2 linked regions of the Drosophila melanogaster genome follow. The protein of the gene in region 1 interacts with the protein of each later gene in a pairwise test. Each region holds a gene or a part of one and is shown in the gene's direction. Other genes may lie near its edges. The genes, in order: CG15878 and CG7191.

Region 1 (3,958 bases):
GAATGTCCAATTAAAGACCGTATTAGGTTGCCATCGTTTGGATGAACAATTTGCATTTTTCTGGAGAAACAAAGGTAACGACAGCAAACACTCCTCTCACGACATCAATCACTTGGCCACACACAAAAATGCCAAGGCACATAGATCGCAATTAATTTACCCAAGCCAACCAGCCAGCCACCCAGCCTCAATTTGGCATGGAGTCAGTCAGCCCGTGTTTGCCCTCCTCCTGTTGCAGCTGCCAGTTGCATCTGCAACCGAGTCTATGCCGGCACAGTGTCTCCTCCTGGCAGCAGATACTCTCCGCTTTCAGCCATTCGAAGAGGACACCCATGGAATGCCGGCTCCATCGGAGCCATCGTTTCCATAGGATCCATTGGATACATCGGCATGACGTCGTCTGCCGTGTTTGCCTGCATGTCAAATTCTCATTTCATTGAAATCGGCAAATATTGACTAAGAACTTCGATGCAATCAACGCTGCCGGCGACTGTGACAAATGGGCGTGGCATGTCGACATCTCGGAGGCAAATCGATGTTGCCGGCATATTTGCATGGCAACGAAAGTGAAACTAGGCGAGCTGGAAAAGTGAAAAGTGAAAGCCCAAGGGAAAGCTTAAACTAATAAAGCGAGCAAAGAATCAACGGTTGAGTGAAAACCACTTGACCCAAAAGTCGTATTTTTCAAACTGACTTTGTGGGTCAGGTATGAAAGATAATATTGTTTTTAGGCTACAGAGCTCACCGCCAAGCGAATTAAATTAAGGTTACTATTTGAACTTCTAACTTCACTTGCATATGCATTTTATAATAAAATTCGTTGATTCTAGAATAAAGTTCTTAAGCACATCTGATGAGCTCTTAAAAACTCCATCTTATTAGTCCGGAAAACGAAACCACTTGGTTATTAAAACATTGCGGCAAATTGCTACGCAACTTTTGGAGTCAATAAACTAAACGGCCAAAACGGGCGAGGCCACTCAGGCGAATCCTGGCGGGTAAGGATAATCAGCACAGCTCAGACATCCTTTGAAGCCAGGTGGGGCGGAAAGAGAAACAGAAACACCTGGGAGCGAGTCAAAAAACAATTTCGCCTCATTATCATTTCAACATATTGTATGCCCAAGTGTTTCAAATTGTTCAAAGAGAGAGAGAGAGCAGGAAAACTCGAAGGACGAGTTGGGCTCCTGATGAAGAAGTTTTCCCTTTTCGTCCTCGTCTAAGGTTGTTGCTGGATGTCGGATGTTGCGGGCGGGATGTTGGTGGGTGGCAAGTGTAGGTGCTGCCGGAAATCACTATGCTCATAAATGCGCCATGAATAAATTAACTCGCTGAAAAGCAAAAGCCAAGCTAAACTAAAAGCCGAGCAAAACAAAGGCGAGTGGCTGAGCAGAGCCTTAGATTTCAAACGAATGATAATAATAATTGAAGCAGCGACCCAAGTACTTGCACAATGGTTAGGTAATAACGCTGTACATGTACATTAAACAAGCAAGAGTGTGCTGTGTATGAGTCGGCACTGAGAGAAAAATGTGATAAGATTGTAATTTACGATCATTCATTTTTCAAAAGGAGTTATTTTCCTAAAATTTTAAAGATACAAGAGGGAGTTAGTGGGACTTAAATTGGTGGCAGTTCCTTGATTCTATTTATTTATTTATTGATTTCTTCTATTCATTCCAGAGCAAAAAAGCAACGTAAGCGATAACAGTCTAAGCAACCGCTTAGTTGCTAGACAACATCAAAATTTCCAGAAACAACAGCTTTATCGATATTCCTGGTAGACCCCGGTGACCCTGGGAGTGTGTTCTCGACCCCCGACAGGAGCAGTCACACCCCGCCAAGATGTCCTTTCACCGGATCAATGTCAAACAAGCTTCCATAGCCGCCCGCCAGCGGCAGTCGCGGACGACCAGGATGACCCGGCACACCATTTTCAATTTGAAGAGACCCATTACCTTCCAGGTGCGCAAGTCGTTGGTGGAGTACGTGGACATGGAGCTAGCGGACATGGACACCTCCGTGTTCTATCAGCGCATCTTTATCCTGGCCAAGAACTGCCACTTGACGCCAGTTGTGTCCAACGAGGAGTTGCTCGCCGACGCGGTGGTGGAACAGGCTGAGCCTGAACCAGATGAAGCGGCGCCCATACAGTTCATGGAGGATGTGATCTTCGACAACACTGAAACGGAATCGCCCATGAACACGACGGCGGATCCAGCGCCCATTCCTGCACCGGAAGAAGGTGCGACGGAAACTGCAGAAGTAGTTACCCACATGTTCCGTTTCAGTGAAGACGATCCAGAAGAAGACTTTGTCGAAGAGGAGGAACTGGAAATGGACACCCAAGCACCCGATCAGCCCAAGGACTTCTTTGCCATCTTCAGCGAGCGCCTGCAGGAGCTGCATAAGCAGTGCAAGGCGCTGGCCATCACGCCGGATCCCATGTGCGGATTGTTTCTCCACATGGGCGAATACAGCATGCTGATGCTGGAGTCCTCCGAGGACATGATCGGATGCTTCACACGGGCCCTGGCCGATTGCTGTGAGACTTTCTGGTTGATGAATCGCGTCTTCCAGATCGAGGATCACGTGCAGGAGCTCTATACAAAAGAACTTATGTTTCGCCGCATCCCTTCCGTCTTTCTGAACGAGAAGTTCCCCACCTCCACGCCCACCGATGAGTATCTCATGGGAAAACAGCATCTGATCATCAAGGATAAGCTGCTGACCATCTGCCGGCTGCTCTCGGAGGGTCAGCAAGTGGATCCGGACGGGATCTCCACGCGAGAAAGCGACATGGAGGACGATATGCCAAAGTCAAAGTCCAAGAGCTCAATCCTAAGCGAACACTTGCCGGTGGAGGTGTTCCGGAAGCACCTGCCCGAGATCCAGCGCATCGAACTGGTTTTGGCATCCACACGATTCTACTACGAGTTGGGAGAGTTCGCCTGGCTCTACGGCCGGGTACCCTTCTCCCCCGACGAGGACGGTCTCTTCTGGCCCATACAGAGCAACTACACTCCTCCGAACATCTTCCGGCGCACTCCGTACGACATAAATCTCACATTTGGTGAGTATGCCGCGGAGGCTAGCAAGAGAAAAACCCAAGGAAGCCTGGTCGGAAGTATAGCTGACGAGGAGGAGGCTCCACCAAATGAAGAGACCCCGCCAAAGACAGAATAAGTGGTTCGGTAATTTGTAGTTGTATTTTAACCTTAGATTTTGTGTCCATTGTATTTTCTAAACCGTCAAGCGAACAAACTGTCAATTCTAAAGAATTCGCGCCTCAGCAAGTATGTTTGTTTTAGCATAAACCTAAAGATTTCGCGTACAAATAAAGAAATCCCATTTATAAAACAAGATTTTTGGTAAATATACTTTAGAAGCCCTGTTTTTTGAGTGTGTCGTCATCAAGAAGGAGCAGCAGTTGTCGCTGTTATCTCTGAACCTCGCGCTCGGTTACAATGTTTTCGGCATTGTGCACATGACTGCATCTCATCTGAGGGCAGGTGGATTGGATGGAGCTGGTGGCTGTCGGGTACATGAATGGGTGTGGGGTTTTCGGCTGTTATGTGGTTTCAGCCCATTCGGGGCTGTCTTGTTTTGGCTTGCCACTTGAATGGCTCGACTTTGTTAACATAAACATAAATTCGCGGTGTGAGTGCGCACATGTGTGGGCTTGGCTGGCGAATGGCTGAATGGTGCGCCTTTTAACATAAACCGCATCAGACGCCAGCTGTCAGTTGTAATACCGTCGGAGCTCCGGGCTTGCAGCTGTCAAAAGCCGCTGCTGCCATTTGGAGTCACTTGACAGTGGGCCAAAAGAACACGGCAGCTTATGGGTGATTGCGTGGGCTTAGGGTGGGACGACTTCGATGGGGTTAAGCAGAGTTTGGCTCGAGAAAGTTCCCTAATAAAGTGGGATATTTACTCACGATTAATCATTCCCTGGGGT
Region 2 (8,064 bases), on another chromosome or scaffold:
AGCGTTTAGGTTGATAACTTGATAACTGTCAATGGGGTTTAATTAAAGCTGTAACGACTTGATTGTACCCGCATGACAACAAAAATAAAGCGGCCGAAAAATCCAAAAACAAACGCGTGAGTCAATTGCACATTTCACTCGCCAACGCCCGACAAGTATGCTACAAATATTTGCTCAGCGATACGGATATGCGTAACGGAAAGATATGCGGGCCAAATAGTGTTCTGAAAACCGAATCCTCGAAAGAAGATTACACGGAAAACTAATTTAGTAAATGATAAGGTCCGCTGAGTTTTCATGTGTATAATGATTTTTGGGTAATGATTTATTTTATTTATTTTTACAAATAAATGTATATGATGATATATATTAATTTCATTATAACTTCATAAGAAATATATTTATATATGACATATCAGGCTCTGTTTCCCGGAACACCAACCACAAATTTCAGAGTAATTAGCTGCGCTAATTTGTTTATCATTTTGTTTGGCACGTCGGCACATGGCGAGATTGCATGTGCCAAACCAGAAGGGCGTGACGCATTTGGATGAATCGGTGGCCATTTGGGTGGGTGGACTTCGGACTGATGCAACTTAAGTCGCACAATCCGCTTGCCATAAGGAGCGTAAAGTATGAAGAAGTGGAGGAGAGCGAACGAAATAAATAAAGACGACTATAAATAGCAGGTTCTGGCCAAAAATATGACTTTTGCCGCGCTACATGAGGAAGCCTCCATCCAGTGACACTTTCCCCTGCCCGCGAGCACTTAAACTTTTCAGCGGGCTATTATTGGTTTTCTCTGCGTAAGTGTCATCTTCTGTTGCCCCAGGCGATTTTCAAGAAAACCCTATATATGCTTATTTTCCCGGCCCGCCTTTTAGGCCAAAACAACACACAGTCACACACACATACATACACACACTCAAAACAATAACGAAAACATCGAAGGATCGTTTGGATTGCCCTCCATTACTAACGGCAATTTCACATTAAAGTGTCATCATTTTCAAGGCCTGCGGGCTGCGACGGTTGTTGACATCCGACTGGATGGATGTCCAGACCCTTCGATTCCTCCTCTGCGATTGCCGTGTTCCTTTTGGATTTGCAGTTCAACTGGGAGTCGGACGGAAAGGATGGACTATTGGCCGAGGCCATTGCCGTTTAAGTTTAGGCAGCAAATGTTTTAAATATACACATTAGCTATAAATATAAAATTTGATTATTTTTTAATAAACGCCAATAGAAGGTAAAAAAAAAACAGACATCAAACCCTTTCGAATTAAATTTTATGAGTTTACCACATTTAAATAGATTTTTTATCTTTTTCCAGTATTTATCAGCCTGACTGATAGGCTATATCATCATCGATCTATAAATATAATCGTTGCCTAATTCATAAGTGCAGCAATATGACAATACCATTTTGCACTGGAATATGACAATGCAATTACATTTAGGCGATTCGCTGGAAATTTTCAAATACATTTCCAAACTACCGGCCTGCAGGGATTTCCGCAGCGTCATGCTTGGCAGGTCCTTTGAGGAACTTTGAGACCTCCCACAGAAAGGCGAGATTCCGAGAAACGAGTGACCCGGACTATTCAGAATACGTTTCCGTAAACAGGGCCGTCAACAAAGGCTTCTATCCACCCCAACCCGCAGATAATTTATCACCTTGCCACGTGACGTCTTTTCGCGACTTGTTGTCTACTTTGCGGCGCATATCGTGATCCTGCTGAATAATTGCCACCGACATTATTCATTCGCGAATATCGCGCTAAACTTTTTAAATGTCCCCAAAATATTTCATTGATAAAAACGGCCGTGGCTTCGTTTTCCAAGGAGGAGTGGCCAGTAAAAGCTTGTTTGAAGCTTTTACGCAATTTTTGGCGCCTTTACATCGGCTCGTTGAAATCGACGCACTCGTCATCGGCCGACGATGGCAACGAATCGGTTTCAACTTCGGATGCGGCCTTATAAAAGGAAGCGGCTCCGCGAGTCAACCACGCAGTGTTCAACAAGTAGTAGGTGCAACAGTTGACAGTATTCCGATTCTGATTCCGATTCAGTAACTCAAACGGTTTCCAGGAATATATTTTAAAGTGAGTGTTAACGGTGTATTTCGAATATCAGTCACGCCAAACTCTTTAAGAAGTTTCCAAAAAATATCTTGTGGTCTGTGTTTAATTTAAGCCAGTCGATTTCATAAAAAGGATAACTAAACGTGACGTGAAATCTTAGTAATGCCGTCGCTTTCGTCATCGATTACAGTGTCGTCAATGAAACTCGAAATACGCGCCTAAAAAAATAAATAACAATTTGTGGACATATATTAAATATGCCAAATAAGAACAGGAGAACTCTTATATTTAAAACTATTAAGTGAATTCGTTCTTAATAATACAGAAATATTTTTAAGGCAAAGAAAAGCCAGCTAAAACTTAATTCATTAATTCAGTACTTTTTCTTTGGTAAATTATTTTAATCTGCTCTTATATTTTGAATTGTATCAGAAGATATTTAACACAAAACTACCTTTGGCTTAAAACTGAAAATTACCATAAAGATAGAGCCTAGCCATTGTAAGTTCTCTTCAAAAATAAAAGTAAAATTTTCTTATTTTATTTCACCAACGCTTTTTACAAGAAAACCCCATTTATATGATTAATTTTATATATTATACTAATCTTGTAAATGTTTAACTACAATAATTTATTTTTATTAATTTATTAAAGTTCAAGCTTTTTAAGCACAGAGCATCACAGCTGAACTAGTTAAATTTAAAAATTCATTTCATTGCACTGGTGAGCTTACAAATTTTGGGAAAATTGGTTTTAAGGTTACTCGGGACAGCAATCCATAAATACTTTATCAATGTCAATAACTCAAGGAATTCCCACCAATGCCAAACACAAATGTCAATAAACCAATGAAAATCTAGGAGAAACAAATAGAAAAAAGCATCAATATTTGTTGTCCCCGACCTCGTTCTCTGTTTCAAACCCCTTAAGTTCCACGTGCAAAAATTCCTGACAATCGTATAGAAATTTAAAAAAAAAAACTGAATCAATCGAAAGCATTCCAAAGCTGTTTTCATGTCACAAAAATTCAGCATCCCACAGGATTTTCTCCTGGAGAATGTATTTACTGAAATTGGTTGTGCTATTTCTTTAGACATAGCAACTGAAAAGTATATCTAGAGGTATTGACTTACATTCCGCAGGCTATACTTTTCATTAAAGATTAGTACACGATTTTGTAGTTGGCGAGGATTTAAAACTGCAAAAAAAATACTTATGAATTTCATGGAATTTTCTTGGCTAGCACCCTTTTTTTGATTTTTCGTAGCAATCATTGCCGTCTGTCTGGTCCTTTGGTTTGGCTCAAACACTTTGTGTAACCTTTTGTGTGCAAATTTTGACAAGTATCCCAGATGGTCGGATTCAATAAGTAGAAAAGTTATGTAATATCCTACCCAGGATTGTTACGCACGTAGACCGTGTCTAATTGGCCGGACTCCGGCGACAAAATGTCCGATGCACTTGACCAACTCCACATCCTTAGCCCTAATTAAGCAGTTTTTCCGCCACACATGTCCAGGTGGTACGTAGGCGAATATAGTGGCAGATAAGGCCTATGAAAATTCCTTTGGGTTCGTGTGCGTTTCGGTTACACTTCAACTCAATTTAGCAATTAGCTGTGCGGTTATTGCGAAAAGGAAAACAGGCGACGGGTAAAAATGAACGTACAATTATATATGGGTTCCTGAAACTTCCCTCGCTTCCAAGTTAATTTCATTTTACCTTGGGGACATCGCCAACCAGGGTGAATTCCCTTCTTTTGCTTTTTTTTTCCTATTTTTTGTTTTTTGGGCTCTGTCCACTTTTTGACACTGTGTCAACAAGTTAATTAAGGCATTTTAACAACGATTCGTGTTTGCTTTGTTTACTTATAATTCGTTCTCTCCGCAGCAATTTCGAATAAGTTGTGCTTTCCCAAAAATAACGCCAAAGTGTCGCCCACTTAAGTGAGTGCCAATAAAAGAGGAGTAATTGAAAAAGTTTTCTTGCAGGAAATGCCCGAAGAAATTGCAATTTATTTCCAAAATTAATACCAAAAAAAAACAGGAAAATCGCAATGCACTTAAAGACCTAAATCTACGAGAGAACATTGTTCGCAAATATTTTGACAAAGTTGCAAATTTTCAATTGAATTTAATCAAAACGTGACGAAAAGTGAAAAGAAAATCATCCACAGAGAATTTCTCTTTCTCCGAGCAATTTTAATGAACCAAATGCAACCGTCTTTATTTTTTTGAGAGGGCGTGACAGAGTTGATTTGCTTGATTGATTTATGTGGTTAACTAACCATATAAATTGAGCTAATTTCAATGTATTTATCTGTGAGGTAGAACAGATTTTCTGGAAAATATTTTAATAAAGATTAATATTATTAAATTATAGAATTATGTAATAAATTATAATTCCTTAAAAAAACAGACGCTTAAACTTTCGCAGCAAACAGCGCTTTAATTATTTACCAAGCCCTTAATTAAATAATGAACTTTGGATTTCTTGGTGAAAATTTTCACACTTTTTTGTCGAAATTTGTCTTAGGCATACATTATTTTCAGTTGCTTGGGCAGACAAATTAAGCCGATCCTAGACATCTCAACCAGCGAGACCGCAAGTGCCAAAAGTTTCAGGCAACTCATTTATATTGCTCGTCAAGCGAATGTTTTTTAAACGCAAAAAAATGCGATAAGGTTGGCGGGTTTCCCCAAAACCCCAACAACCAGGCTCCTGAGCTAAATGGGCTAAAAATACGCTGCGAAGGAGTTAAGCCCACTCGCTCACTTCGGCGACGTCCCATCCTTAATTAAATGAAACGACAAAGCGCACAGAGTGGGCCCAGTATGAACCGCGATGCAGTACCTGACATAAAAAATATTTATAAAAGCACACAAACACCTACTGCACAGTGGTGGAAATCTATGCGAAAAGTAATAGCATTCTTATCAATTTTAATTAGAAACATCTTTCGTTAAAATCTACAAGAATTATAGAGTAGCTTTCATTTGTCTATAAATAAATGGGATGTTAAAAATTAGGCAGTACTTTTTAATATTCGAATATTAATATAAATATATTATTTTTCTGATAGTTGAATTGTGTAATTTCTACTTTATAAACAACATACTGCATCCGTCTTTGTTATTAACTATTTGTCTGCAAAGTACACAACCTTTATATTTTTACCCAATTTTTAAATAACGGCCTTAGTTAGTGGAAAAGGAGTAGAATTTGTTTGCCCGTATGGCCCACGGTTCTTCGCGCGAAGAAAGATTAAGCAGGAGCGCAAAACAAAAGCCCCAGAATCAGCCGCCAAGTTATCCAAGAGACGCCCTTTTGACGTTTGGCACCCACCGCCCATTTCTCCAGTTTCCCTCGCGATTCTCCTACTTTTGGCGGGGGTTTCTTGGTTGCTTGCGTGTTTATCTGAGTATTGTTTGCTTGAGCACAAAGAGACGCCCACACGCACGGCATAATGGGGCGGATGGGGTAGGTATCCATCCCATGGCCGTGGTAGTGACGGTAATTACCCTCTTGTACAAACATCTACGCTTTTTTTTTTTTTGCCTTCCAGAGACATCCACATCGCCAACGACCCGCGCACTAATCCCGAGCTCATCCGCAGAGGCTGTATGAACATGAAGCCCGACATCCTAGCGCTCTGCATCCTGGCTACCACGATCCTGTGCAGCAGGACGCGTCACGTCGCCGGCTTCCTGACTGCACAGTCCACCGCCAGCGGAGGAGCAGGCGGAGCAAACGGTGCCAAAGTGGGTGACCATCAGGGCGTGGCGTCCGTACCACAACGTCTTCATTTGCCCGTTCTAGCGGTCGGGGGCGGACCCGTTCGCCAAGGACCCGCTCTGCCCGGCGATGTCCTGGATGCCCAGGAACGAGCTGTTTACGATCCCGGCGATGGTGAGTCATAAACATCCCTATTACCGCTTTCCTTGCCATGGTAAACTTCCCGGGCATCAGCTAATCCCCAGTCGAATTAAAAGGATAGCAACTGCATCCAAAGACCATTTCAATTAAATTGTTATCGGGTTCTTTTTGAATGCGAAGACGTAATCGTGGTCAAGGTGAATCCTATAACCAAGCTATTCCATCGCCCTATAAAAATATATAGACCTTATTTATATTAGCCAAATTAATAGGCATTCTGATCCATAAAGCTGAGGAACTGGAACTGAATCTGTTCAGGAACTTTAATAAATGAACTAGTTATTTTGTTGTCATTTAGCTATTTTTCTAAAATATTTTCAATATTTAATGGCAGTTATGGCCTCCTATTTACTCCTCACCTGAGTACATGATTACGTTCAAAATTTTTGCTTGCCGACTTTTAGGCGACCCATTCGAAAGGGGTGGACCAAGAGTTAGGGTGACCCATGGCGTGCACTTAGCCGTAACCGTCGCCCACCATCTCTATCCCTAATGGCCATGGTGACCACCGCTCGCTGAACATTTTCGGTCAGTGCACAATTTTTCAAGTGCCTCACATTGTTGACCATCGCACAATATGTGGAGCATGTGTTTGTTTGTGCTGAGCACTTAAAACGCCCACCAAACTGCCCGGGATAGATTTTCAAATTTGTTGACGAATTTGATTCGACGTTTGCGTTTTACGTTGCTACCACCTACCTTCTACCAACCGGCAATAAAATGTCATATCCGATTTTCAATAAGCGAACTTGTTTTCCAAGCGATTTGATAGATGGGTAAATGGATTGGAAATTTAACGAATATCGATTTGGTTTGAGTTGGTAACATTTGAATTTTTGGACATGATCTTATAAACATACATATATGAAACAAAAATTTAAATTTATTTCTGTTTCTGATCTCGAAACTATTTATTTCAATTGAGGAGTCCTTAAATTTAAAACTGTAAATGCTTTGGGTTCATGAGCGTCCGCTGTCTGCGGCTCTTTGAAGAGACATCGAGTGGACAGTGATGGGCAGACTGGATGCCAAATGCGACAAAAGGCAGTCAAGGAGTTGCAGTGCCTGTTGACTTGACTGACGGACGTGGTCGAAAAGCCGAGAAGGCTTCCCCTGCCGCGGAGGGGAAAAGGAATGCTGTGGCCATAAACTCATTGCCGCCAGTCAATTTCCGCCAGTCCATTGAAACGACCGAAGAGCCGGGGGAAAACATATTCCAGCCAACCAGGACAGACAGACAAACAAACTATTCAAACTTTCAAATATCAAACGGCGGAAGTTTCCGATGGCAAGGAGCAGGAGTCGGGGAATTAAGTGGGAGTGGGAGTGGAAGTGGGAATGGGAATGGCAATGGCGTGGTTGTGGTCGGATTAGCGACAGCTTGAATAAACATTCAAATCGCAAATAAGGTCTTTGGCTTGCTCATTTCACGGCAGAATTACTCCGCGCCCAGGAGCTCGGATTGGCAGTGGTTCCTCAAGGTCCCGACTACGCGGATGCGGTGTACAACGAACTCGAGCTGGCCAGCAAGTTCGAGGTGCTCAAGAAGATGGAGGAGGATTTGCGTGCCGAGCAGGAGCTGGTGGACAAATCCGCTTTGCTCATGAAAATGCTGGAGGTGAGTGCGAAGACAGGCTGTCGAAATTTCGATGAAAATGTTGAAAAATACACGGTAAATTAAATTTTTTTAAAATATTAAACATAAACATCAAAACATATTAGCTTTTGCTTATAAATAACTTTTTGAGTAATGCATACTTAAGTGATAATATTTTTAATTTTTATTAAAATTTTAACACAATTTTTTGATCTATGTGCATTTTTTCGCTCAGGATCCCTCATTGGAAACCTTGCCCTTGGTCTACGTGGAGGAGGAGGAGCCGGAGGCTGTGATTCCTTCCGGCGGAGCCGAGGACTACGCCGACTTGGAGAACGCCGTTCAGGATTTGGTTTTGGGCCAGAGCAAATCCAAGCGTTCGCGCTACTATCGAAGGTATCCATGGAAGCGTCACAACAAGAATCGCGGGTAGGTTGCTTTTCTATA

Evidence for each region.
Region 2: the proteins of CG15878 (region 1) and CG7191 interact in a two-hybrid assay, tested with the Drosophila melanogaster proteins (one large-scale study listed by BioGRID).

The regions. Positions count from the first base shown.
Region 1 is NT_037436.4:2,210,276-2,214,233, reverse strand, and holds CG15878 (uncharacterized protein), read left to right. Parts: upstream 1-1,730; 5' UTR 1,731-1,845; coding exon 1,846-3,186; 3' UTR 3,187-3,361; downstream 3,362-3,958.
Region 2 is NT_033779.5:7,765,613-7,773,676, forward strand, and holds the start of CG7191 (uncharacterized protein), read left to right. Parts: upstream 1-2,015; 5' UTR 2,016-2,105; intron 2,106-5,649; 5' UTR 5,650-5,707; coding exon 5,708-5,993; intron 5,994-7,456; coding exon 7,457-7,638; intron 7,639-7,852; coding exon 7,853-8,046; intron 8,047-8,064.